Drosophila melanogaster: one gene and its partner. The protein of the gene in region 1 binds, or shares a complex with, the protein of each later gene. Each region holds a gene or a part of one and is shown in the gene's direction. Other genes may lie near its edges.

Region 1 (3,752 bases):
TCAGCGCTCGTTGGCTGTCAGTTTCGAGTATCTTAAAGATACTTTTTTGACCAATCGGAATTCATTGGTTCAGTAAGCATATTCGGCGACTGGGTGTCTGAAATCTGGTTTCGATCATCTTATCTTGATGGTATAACTAGCATTTAGATACCCATTTTTCTTCATAATTCTTAATTTTATTTGTTGCATAATTTATGAAAATAGTACGAAAAAGTACAATTTTTTATACAGGTTCTGTATAAGTTACAAGGTACCCATTAGTCGAAACCTTATTTATCGAACTTTATAACCTAACCACTTGACTATGATTTATTTACAATTAAGCATCTTTGAGCGCTTCAATTACTTTTTACTTCCAATTAATGCAAAGTATACTGCCTAAGGTTTAACTTTGACTCCGGGTTTCCTGTAGATCGGCGGAAGTTTTTTTGTTTAGACATGCGCCAAGCACTTGAAGTCCGCAATTGACTGCTGCATAATTAGATGCGATGCGATTGGAATAGAGGATGCGATGGGTAATCACATCAACACTTGGACAGGCGATCAAGTGTCAGTTCAATAAGACCGGCTCAAGTGTAATTAGAGACCACGGATCTTGGGTTTCGGGAAGGGATCTTGGGTTTTCGGATCATCGATCCAACGATCGTGCCGAGCTCTTGAAAGCCGCTTATTAGGCATTTACAAGGGCAACTGCGCAGTTGATCGGTTACAAAATGACTTAACTATTTAAATAATAAACACGCTTCACGTTTCTCAGGCTAAGTTCGTAAGCATCTTCAATTTTCGGATTGCGTCTCAACTGCAACAGTCTATTTTGAAAGTCAAGCGTTTCTAAAAGCGCCACATCATCAGCGGTAATATTATCCATCCCTCATAAATATTCCCATGTTGTTTTGGGATCTTTTGGCTATTTTTAAAGCAGACAAAGGCGAGCCAATAATGTGTGGAAAGAATTTTGGTTGGATTCAAATACGAAGCAGCTTTGGTAACAACTAAGGTTCTGGGTTAGTCATGATTCACCAACAGGTTAGACTTAGTTTTGTGGCAAAATTTAACCAATGACGTCCAAGTTCTAACTAAAGTAATATCGTTACTTTGTTATTTTATTTTTGGATATTCTCGAAAGTTTCTGGAATTCTCAAGAAAACTTAAACAATATAGAGTCGCATTATATGGAAAACTCATTGATTCATTCTTATGTTTGTTATTTTGTTATTAAATTCCAATTGATGATGCCAGTGTCTAAATAAAAACGAAGACCTAATTTTCAACCAAAAATCAGGTTTTCTGGGCTTGTCCGTATTAAACATTTTTGATAATTATTTATAATATATTGTTATTTTTTGCTGGCTTCAAAACATCAACAAATTGTGTATGATAAATGACGATGACGTTGTTGTTGATGGCGATCGCGCTGTGGGAATCAGATGAAATGTCAATTAAGTTTGCATTTATATCTTTGATTGAAGCTCTAAGATTTGCTTTGCCATTTTATGCGGAAGTTAAGCTCGGTCAGTTCTTGAAAAAGTTCCCATGGGAGCAAGTTATTTGTTTTTTGACAATAAGAAGCGTTTATTTAAAATGGCTTATTATGGCCTCAATGATTCCTAATAGGCGTAACTTACTGGTTATAAACTTGTTTAATATCGTTTCATTTTAAACCTGGATGACAGAAAATGAATTTCGGTTCAAATACAAATATTACAATAGAAAGTATGATATTTAGCTCCGATAAACATTTAACAATTTTAGTATTTTAATGGTGAAATGGTAAATTCCGCGCATGAAAAGAGATAGAAGAGATGACATATATGGAAACCTTAAAAACGTAACGGTTGCTTGGGTTTTATAACAATCAGTCAGTGACAGGCATTTCCAGAGTTGCCCTGTTCAACAATCGATAGCTGCCTTCGGTCGCTCGTCACTAACTTTCCTTTAGGCAACGGCCACACTGTCTGGCCACCAAAATCCCAAACTTAATTAAAGAATTAAATAATTCGAATAATAATTAAGCCCAGTAACCTACGCAGCTTGAGTGCGTAACCGATATCTAGTATACATTTCGATACATCGAAATCATGGTAGTGTTGGAGACGGAGAAGGTAAGGCGAGAAACGGCGAGCCGCATGGTTTCGATTTCGGCTGAGCCGTGGCAGGAACAACAAAAACAGGGTTGTTGCACAAGAGGGGAGGCGATAGTCGAGCGGAAAAGTGTGCAGTTGGCGTGGCTACATCATCATTGTGTTCACCGATTATTTTTTGCACAATTGCTTAATATTAATTGTACTTGCACGCTATTGTCTACGTCATAGCTATCGCTATCTCTGTCTGTCTCTATCAAGCTATCTCTCTTTCGCGGTCACTCGTTCTCTTTTTCTCTCCTTTCGCATTTGCATACGCATACCACACGTTTTCAGTGTTCTCGCTCTCTCTCTCTTGTCAAGACATCGCGCGCGTGTGTGTGGGTGTGTTCTTCTTTAGCTACATATACATAAATAGGAGAGCGGAGAGACAAATATGGAAAGAATGGAAAAAGAGTGAATTACTGCAATTAACCAGTCGCGAACAGTTAAATCATATTTTTGTCGGCCATTGCAGTAAATAAACCGTTGGCTTTCCCTCTTCACTTTCCACCTCCTTTCTTTGACGTTAATTTTTTTCAGTTAATCGCGCCGCTGCTTTGAACTCGAACACGAATTTTAGCCGCAACATAAAATAAAATCAAGTAACTCTTTTAACTCAAATATAAAACAACAATTCCAATTCTTTCAACAGGCAATCTGTGTTTTTATGTCAGATACGTGCGCGTGTGTGTGTGTGCTGTAATTCCATCGCCCCTTTCGATTCCGAGTTCGTTAGGAACAGCATTAGTTCGCCTATTTTAGTAGTAGCCTAGTCCGATTTTAAGTGAAACAGGATACTCCAACACCATATACTCAATAATTAGTTACAACACCCACTCAACCATACAGCAACAACAAGTTTAACGAGTTTTTTGTATTATCATTACTTAGTTTTTTGGTTAATAATACACAAGTGAAGAGCGAACTGCAGGGGAGCGAGATATCACGAAACAATCCAAAATCCACACACACTCAAACAGAAATCAAAAGCTTCGCTCTCTCGCACACACACGCACCAACCAACTATCAACTATCACAAACACCGCGACAGAGAGAGAGCGGCAAGTGAATCACGGCGAATCGAAACCGATCCGAACCCACTCCGGAGCCGAAAAAGAACTGATCCTACCATCAAACGCATCCAATAAACACGGCCGCCAACATGCAGAGCGACTTTCACAGAATGAAGAACTTTGCCAATCCCAAGTCCATGTTCAAAGTAATACTCTCAGTGCGCCTGTCGCTAAGCCAAGCTAATCTAATCTTCTGATTCCCCTTCCCATCCATTGCCATCTTCTCCCGCAGACCAGCGCCCCCAGCACCGAGCAGGGTCGTCCGGAACCACCAACTTCGGCTGCAGCGCCCGCCGAGGCTAAGGATGTCAAGCCCAAGGAGGACCCACAGGAGACTGGTGAACCAGCAGGCAACACTGCAACCACTACTGCTCCTGCCGGCGACGATGCTGTGCGCACCGAGCATTTATACAAACACCCGCTCATGAATGTCTGGACGCTGTGGTACCTTGAAAACGATCGGTCCAAGTCCTGGGAGGACATGCAAAACGAGATCACCAGCTTCGATACCGTCGAGGACTTCTGGAGCCTATACAACCACATCAAGCCCCCATCA
Region 2 (3,752 bases), on another chromosome or scaffold:
GTTTGGGAATAGAACCCACCGATGGTAATGACCCACCGTTCGTCCGTATGTTTCACGCAATTCGATGGTGCAATTTCATCAGCCTCCCCGAAAAAGATTTCATCCGAATTTCACTATATATGTACGTATGTATTACCTGTCCCCCGGCGGATGGGAAAAACACCCCTCGGCGCTTAGAGAACCGGCTAGGAATATCTCAAGACGCATTTTAACTTGGCTGCAACGCAGTAGGAAAACTGCCTGCCGTCTCTTTCCTCGCGGCTATAGGCCTGTCTCTCTCTCTTTGCGCAGGTACATCATATTGTATCTGATGAAAACGAAAGCAAAATCCGAACTGGTTTCTTCGAGGGTTGATAAGCCCTAATGGAGGTGGAAAATGCGGAGAAGAGCCGCTCTCTCACCCAAAAAATAAAATATATAAACATATCAGCCGGCACGTAGGGCGGTTTCTATGCTGTGGACTACGTGCTAGATGACACGGCAAAATTGTCCGTGTTTTTCGTGTTCTGGCTCCCTTGTTTACCGTTTACTACTTTGGGGGTCAGTTGGCACCCAGCTAACTCCCACCCCCATCTAGTGTAATTGATGGATTTGGGTCATGCTTTCCCCAATTCAAATATGCTCCTCGTCACATGGAAATCTACTTTCAAGGTCTGTCAAGCTTCCCCATTTAGCCATCATAAATATTAGCACGCTTAAGTATCGACCTTGTGCAGATTTCTAGGTGGGCGCCATCCCCTGTCCCACATCGAGATCATGATCGCCGCAGATCAACACACGTGGCCACCTTTTGTCAACCCCATATCCCTCGGAATGGCCCGTGGCCAATATCCGAATTACGTCGAATCGTGGGCGCCAACGTAGGCAAAAGTTCCTGTAGCACTATTTACATGCGTCCAACGATTAAATATCGTCAACATCGCCCCCGCATAGCTAAAACCGCTCGTGCCGCTGCTTGGATCCACCCTATGCTTGCTGCGATCAGTGGGGCATATTAGTTTGATTCCAAACAAGATATTCCACCTCAAAGAACTTGGGAACTAATAAGGGTTCGATCACCAAATTTGGTGATATGATATATGTATTTCTTTAGATATGTGCGCTAATATTAAACGGCTAAGAAGTCAATGTGCCAAAGAAAAGATATTAAATATGTATGTTTCATATCAGTCAAGTTAAATTTTGATATGAGCTAAGCGTACTTTTGGATTGTGCACTCCTAAATATAGAAATCACGCTAAAATTGCATATCTAAGTAAATAAAGCAAGTAAGTTATGTAAGACGTGTATCTTTTCGTGATAATTATTTCAAAACGGCTCGTGCCAGATAATAATGAACACTTTCCGCCTGAAAAAAAGTGAAATGCTGGGTATCTTTTAGCCCATAAAAACCTGCAATATCGTTGCTCAAATTGCTATGCTCCGCGAGTTCGCACATGCATAGAAGGCACTCATAGCCTACGTCACGATTGCCGGCGACGTGTCTTTATGCTAATTAATGGTATTTCGCGAAAACGAGTGCAAAATAATGGCCCCATGGAGAGAGCGGCAGTACTTCACGAAATTCTGCGGAACACCTCTTGACTCCCAGACAGCCATAGATAAGATCCCAATTGCACCTGAGTCATCATCATTTCCCTAGCAAGATCGACAATAGACTTGGTTTTTAGAAAAGAATGCGATTGGCGTTTAGTGCTGTTGGCTAACTTGTTTACCAATAATATTGCCGTGCATTAAACAATAACAAATGACCAAAGATAAACAAGAGCTCAAGGCGAGAAGCCCCTCAAGACAGCCCCCCACCATCGCTACACCCCTTATCATCTAGAACCTCCGAGGTGTGCAGGCTGCAACAAAAATAAGAACAATAGGGGAATATATTAGAATACGGCAATAACAACAAGAACCAGCCGGTTTGTCATAAACTACGCAGAAAATACACCAGATAAAAACAAAAAACATCAGCCGACCAAGCAGAATAATCAGGCGAGAGAGCAGGCGAAAGAGCGAGAAGAGAGCGAGAGAGAGTAAGAATGGGGGGGTATAAATAGAGCCACACTTCGTAATACCGCCAGCAATCGCCTAGCGAACAGCCAACGGTGAACACATAGCAGCCACACAAGCTCTATAGCTGATACAAGCAACGAAATACAAACAACGCAGTTTGTGTAAACAATCAAATTGTCGCAGCCATATCGAGTGTGCTTACACGTCCAGCGGAAAGTTTTCGAAACCAATCCAATCAATCAGCTAAGATGTCCGCTTCACCCACCGCCCGTCAAGCCATCACCCAGGCCCTGCCCATGATCACCAGGAAGGTTGTCATCTCGGATCCGATCCAGATGCCCGAGGTGTACTCCTCGACGCCCGGCGGAACCCTCTACTCCACCACTCCTGGAGGTAAGTTTCGAAAATTGGAAGCTGAGACTACATCGAGTATTATTAAGTTCCTTCCGGAAAGTGGAGTGATTTTCTTATCATTAGATATGATATCAAGATGAAATTAATCAACATATTTCGAAAACATAAACAAGTATACCGTTTCTTTCCTTTGCTCAAACAACAAACAAGCTTTTGTTTGAGTTGTGATACATTATTTTTGTAAAACTCACTCACCATTTTTTGGCTGATGAAACTGGGCCATCTCGCCGAGTCAGTCAGTTGGAAGATAATCCCGAGCACATGTTCCACAGTTCGTGACTCAGAGTAGCGCGGCAAAGAAGCGTTTACTCAGCTGGCTTATCAGTGGGGAACTTTGAATACCTTTCTGATGCAACGCAGACCACCTTGACTAATAAAAATTTCCGCTTTCCTATAATTCCAGGCACCAAACTTATCTACGAGCGGGCTTTCATGAAGAATCTCCGTGGCTCCCCATTGAGCCAAACTCCGCCGTCCAACGTGCCCAGTTGCTTGCTGAGGGGAACTCCGCGTACTCCCTTCCGCAAGTGCGTGCCCGTCCCCACGGAACTGATCAAGCAGACCAAGTCGCTGAAGATTGAGGACCAGGAACAGTTCCAACTGGATCTGTAGGGGGTGTGGCGTGTACACCGCCATGCAGCAACTGCCAAATCCAACTAGTTCTTAGATGCACCCACTAAAACCGATCTTATAAGCTTAGTGTACCCATTAACTAGATGCTAAGTTCTTAGTTCTTCCACCTTGTTTGTTCTCTCGGTCATATTGACCCCGTTACCTTGTAAAATCGTAGATCTTAAGTAAAATGCAATAAAAAAAAGGCACACATTATTTAAAAGAGAACCACACCTTCCATTGGGATTCAGTAGCTGCCAATTTACAATTATAAATTTTAATTTATGTTTGAGAAATTCAGTGCCAAATTACTTTCTTTATCGGCAATTCAACCTTGGCAGGCCACGCGTTATGTGATAGAACACTTTCCACTTCACCTTGAGTCAGTTTCGGTTTAGTAGTATTTTCGGCAGTTTGTTGAACTGTTTGAACTGTTTACGAAGAAATTTAGCGAAAGGGGGCTTTTTGGGGGGCGGTACACATGTTAGACAGCTGGAAATACCGGCCGGCTTTTTAGTTAGCCAGTCAGTCAGTGGCCCCAGCAGCGCGTGTCCCACTTATTGCAAAGATATGCATACATATTTATAATGTATCCAAAAACCGGCAAACAAACGCCACAAAAAAATAGATCTTTAAGAAACTGCGCAGTTGGGAAACGACCTCGCCTTTGGCCCCCGCCCCGCCCTTTACCATTTTTCTTATATATACAAAAGTAGTGT

The links. The genes of interacting proteins can lie anywhere in the genome.
Region 2: the proteins of eIF4E1 (region 1) and Thor are in contact, whole or in part, in a crystal structure (PDB 4UE8), measured with the Drosophila melanogaster proteins. Residues at the interface, in NP_001261626.1 of Drosophila melanogaster: Lys80, His81, Pro82, Leu83, Met84, Tyr91, Ile107, Thr108, Val113, Glu114, Trp117, Ser118, Leu119, Tyr120, Asn121, His122, Ile123, Lys124, Pro125, Tyr135, Leu174, Asp175, Leu178, Cys179, Ile181, Gly182, Glu183, Phe185, Asp186, Ser188; in NP_001285588.1 of Drosophila melanogaster: Lys51, Leu52, Ile53, Tyr54, Arg56, Phe58, Met59, Lys60, Leu62, Arg63, Ser65, Pro66, Leu67, Ser68, Gln69, Thr70, Pro71, Pro72, Asn74, Val75, Pro76, Ser77, Cys78, Leu79, Leu80, Arg81, Thr83.

What each region holds. Positions count from the first base shown.
Region 1 is NT_037436.4:9,400,630-9,404,381, reverse strand, and holds the start of eIF4E1 (eukaryotic translation initiation factor 4E1), read left to right. Parts: upstream 1-1,921; 5' UTR 1,922-2,078; coding exon of another isoform or gene 2,079-2,102; exon of another isoform or gene 2,103-2,465; intron 2,466-2,576; exon of another isoform or gene 2,577-2,725; intron 2,726-2,775; 5' UTR 2,776-3,285; coding exon 3,286-3,342; intron 3,343-3,428; coding exon 3,429-3,752. UniProt on the Drosophila melanogaster protein: Recognizes and binds the 7-methylguanosine (m7G)-containing mRNA cap during an early step in the initiation of protein synthesis and facilitates ribosome binding by inducing the unwinding of the mRNAs secondary structures.
Region 2 is NT_033779.5:3,476,361-3,480,112, forward strand, and holds Thor (thor), read left to right. Parts: upstream 1-2,073; 5' UTR 2,074-2,255; coding exon 2,256-2,400; intron 2,401-2,824; coding exon 2,825-3,033; 3' UTR 3,034-3,252; downstream 3,253-3,752. UniProt on the Drosophila melanogaster protein: Repressor of translation initiation that regulates eIF4E1 activity by preventing its assembly into the eIF4F complex. Hypophosphorylated form competes with eIF4G1 and strongly binds to eIF4E1, leading to repress translation.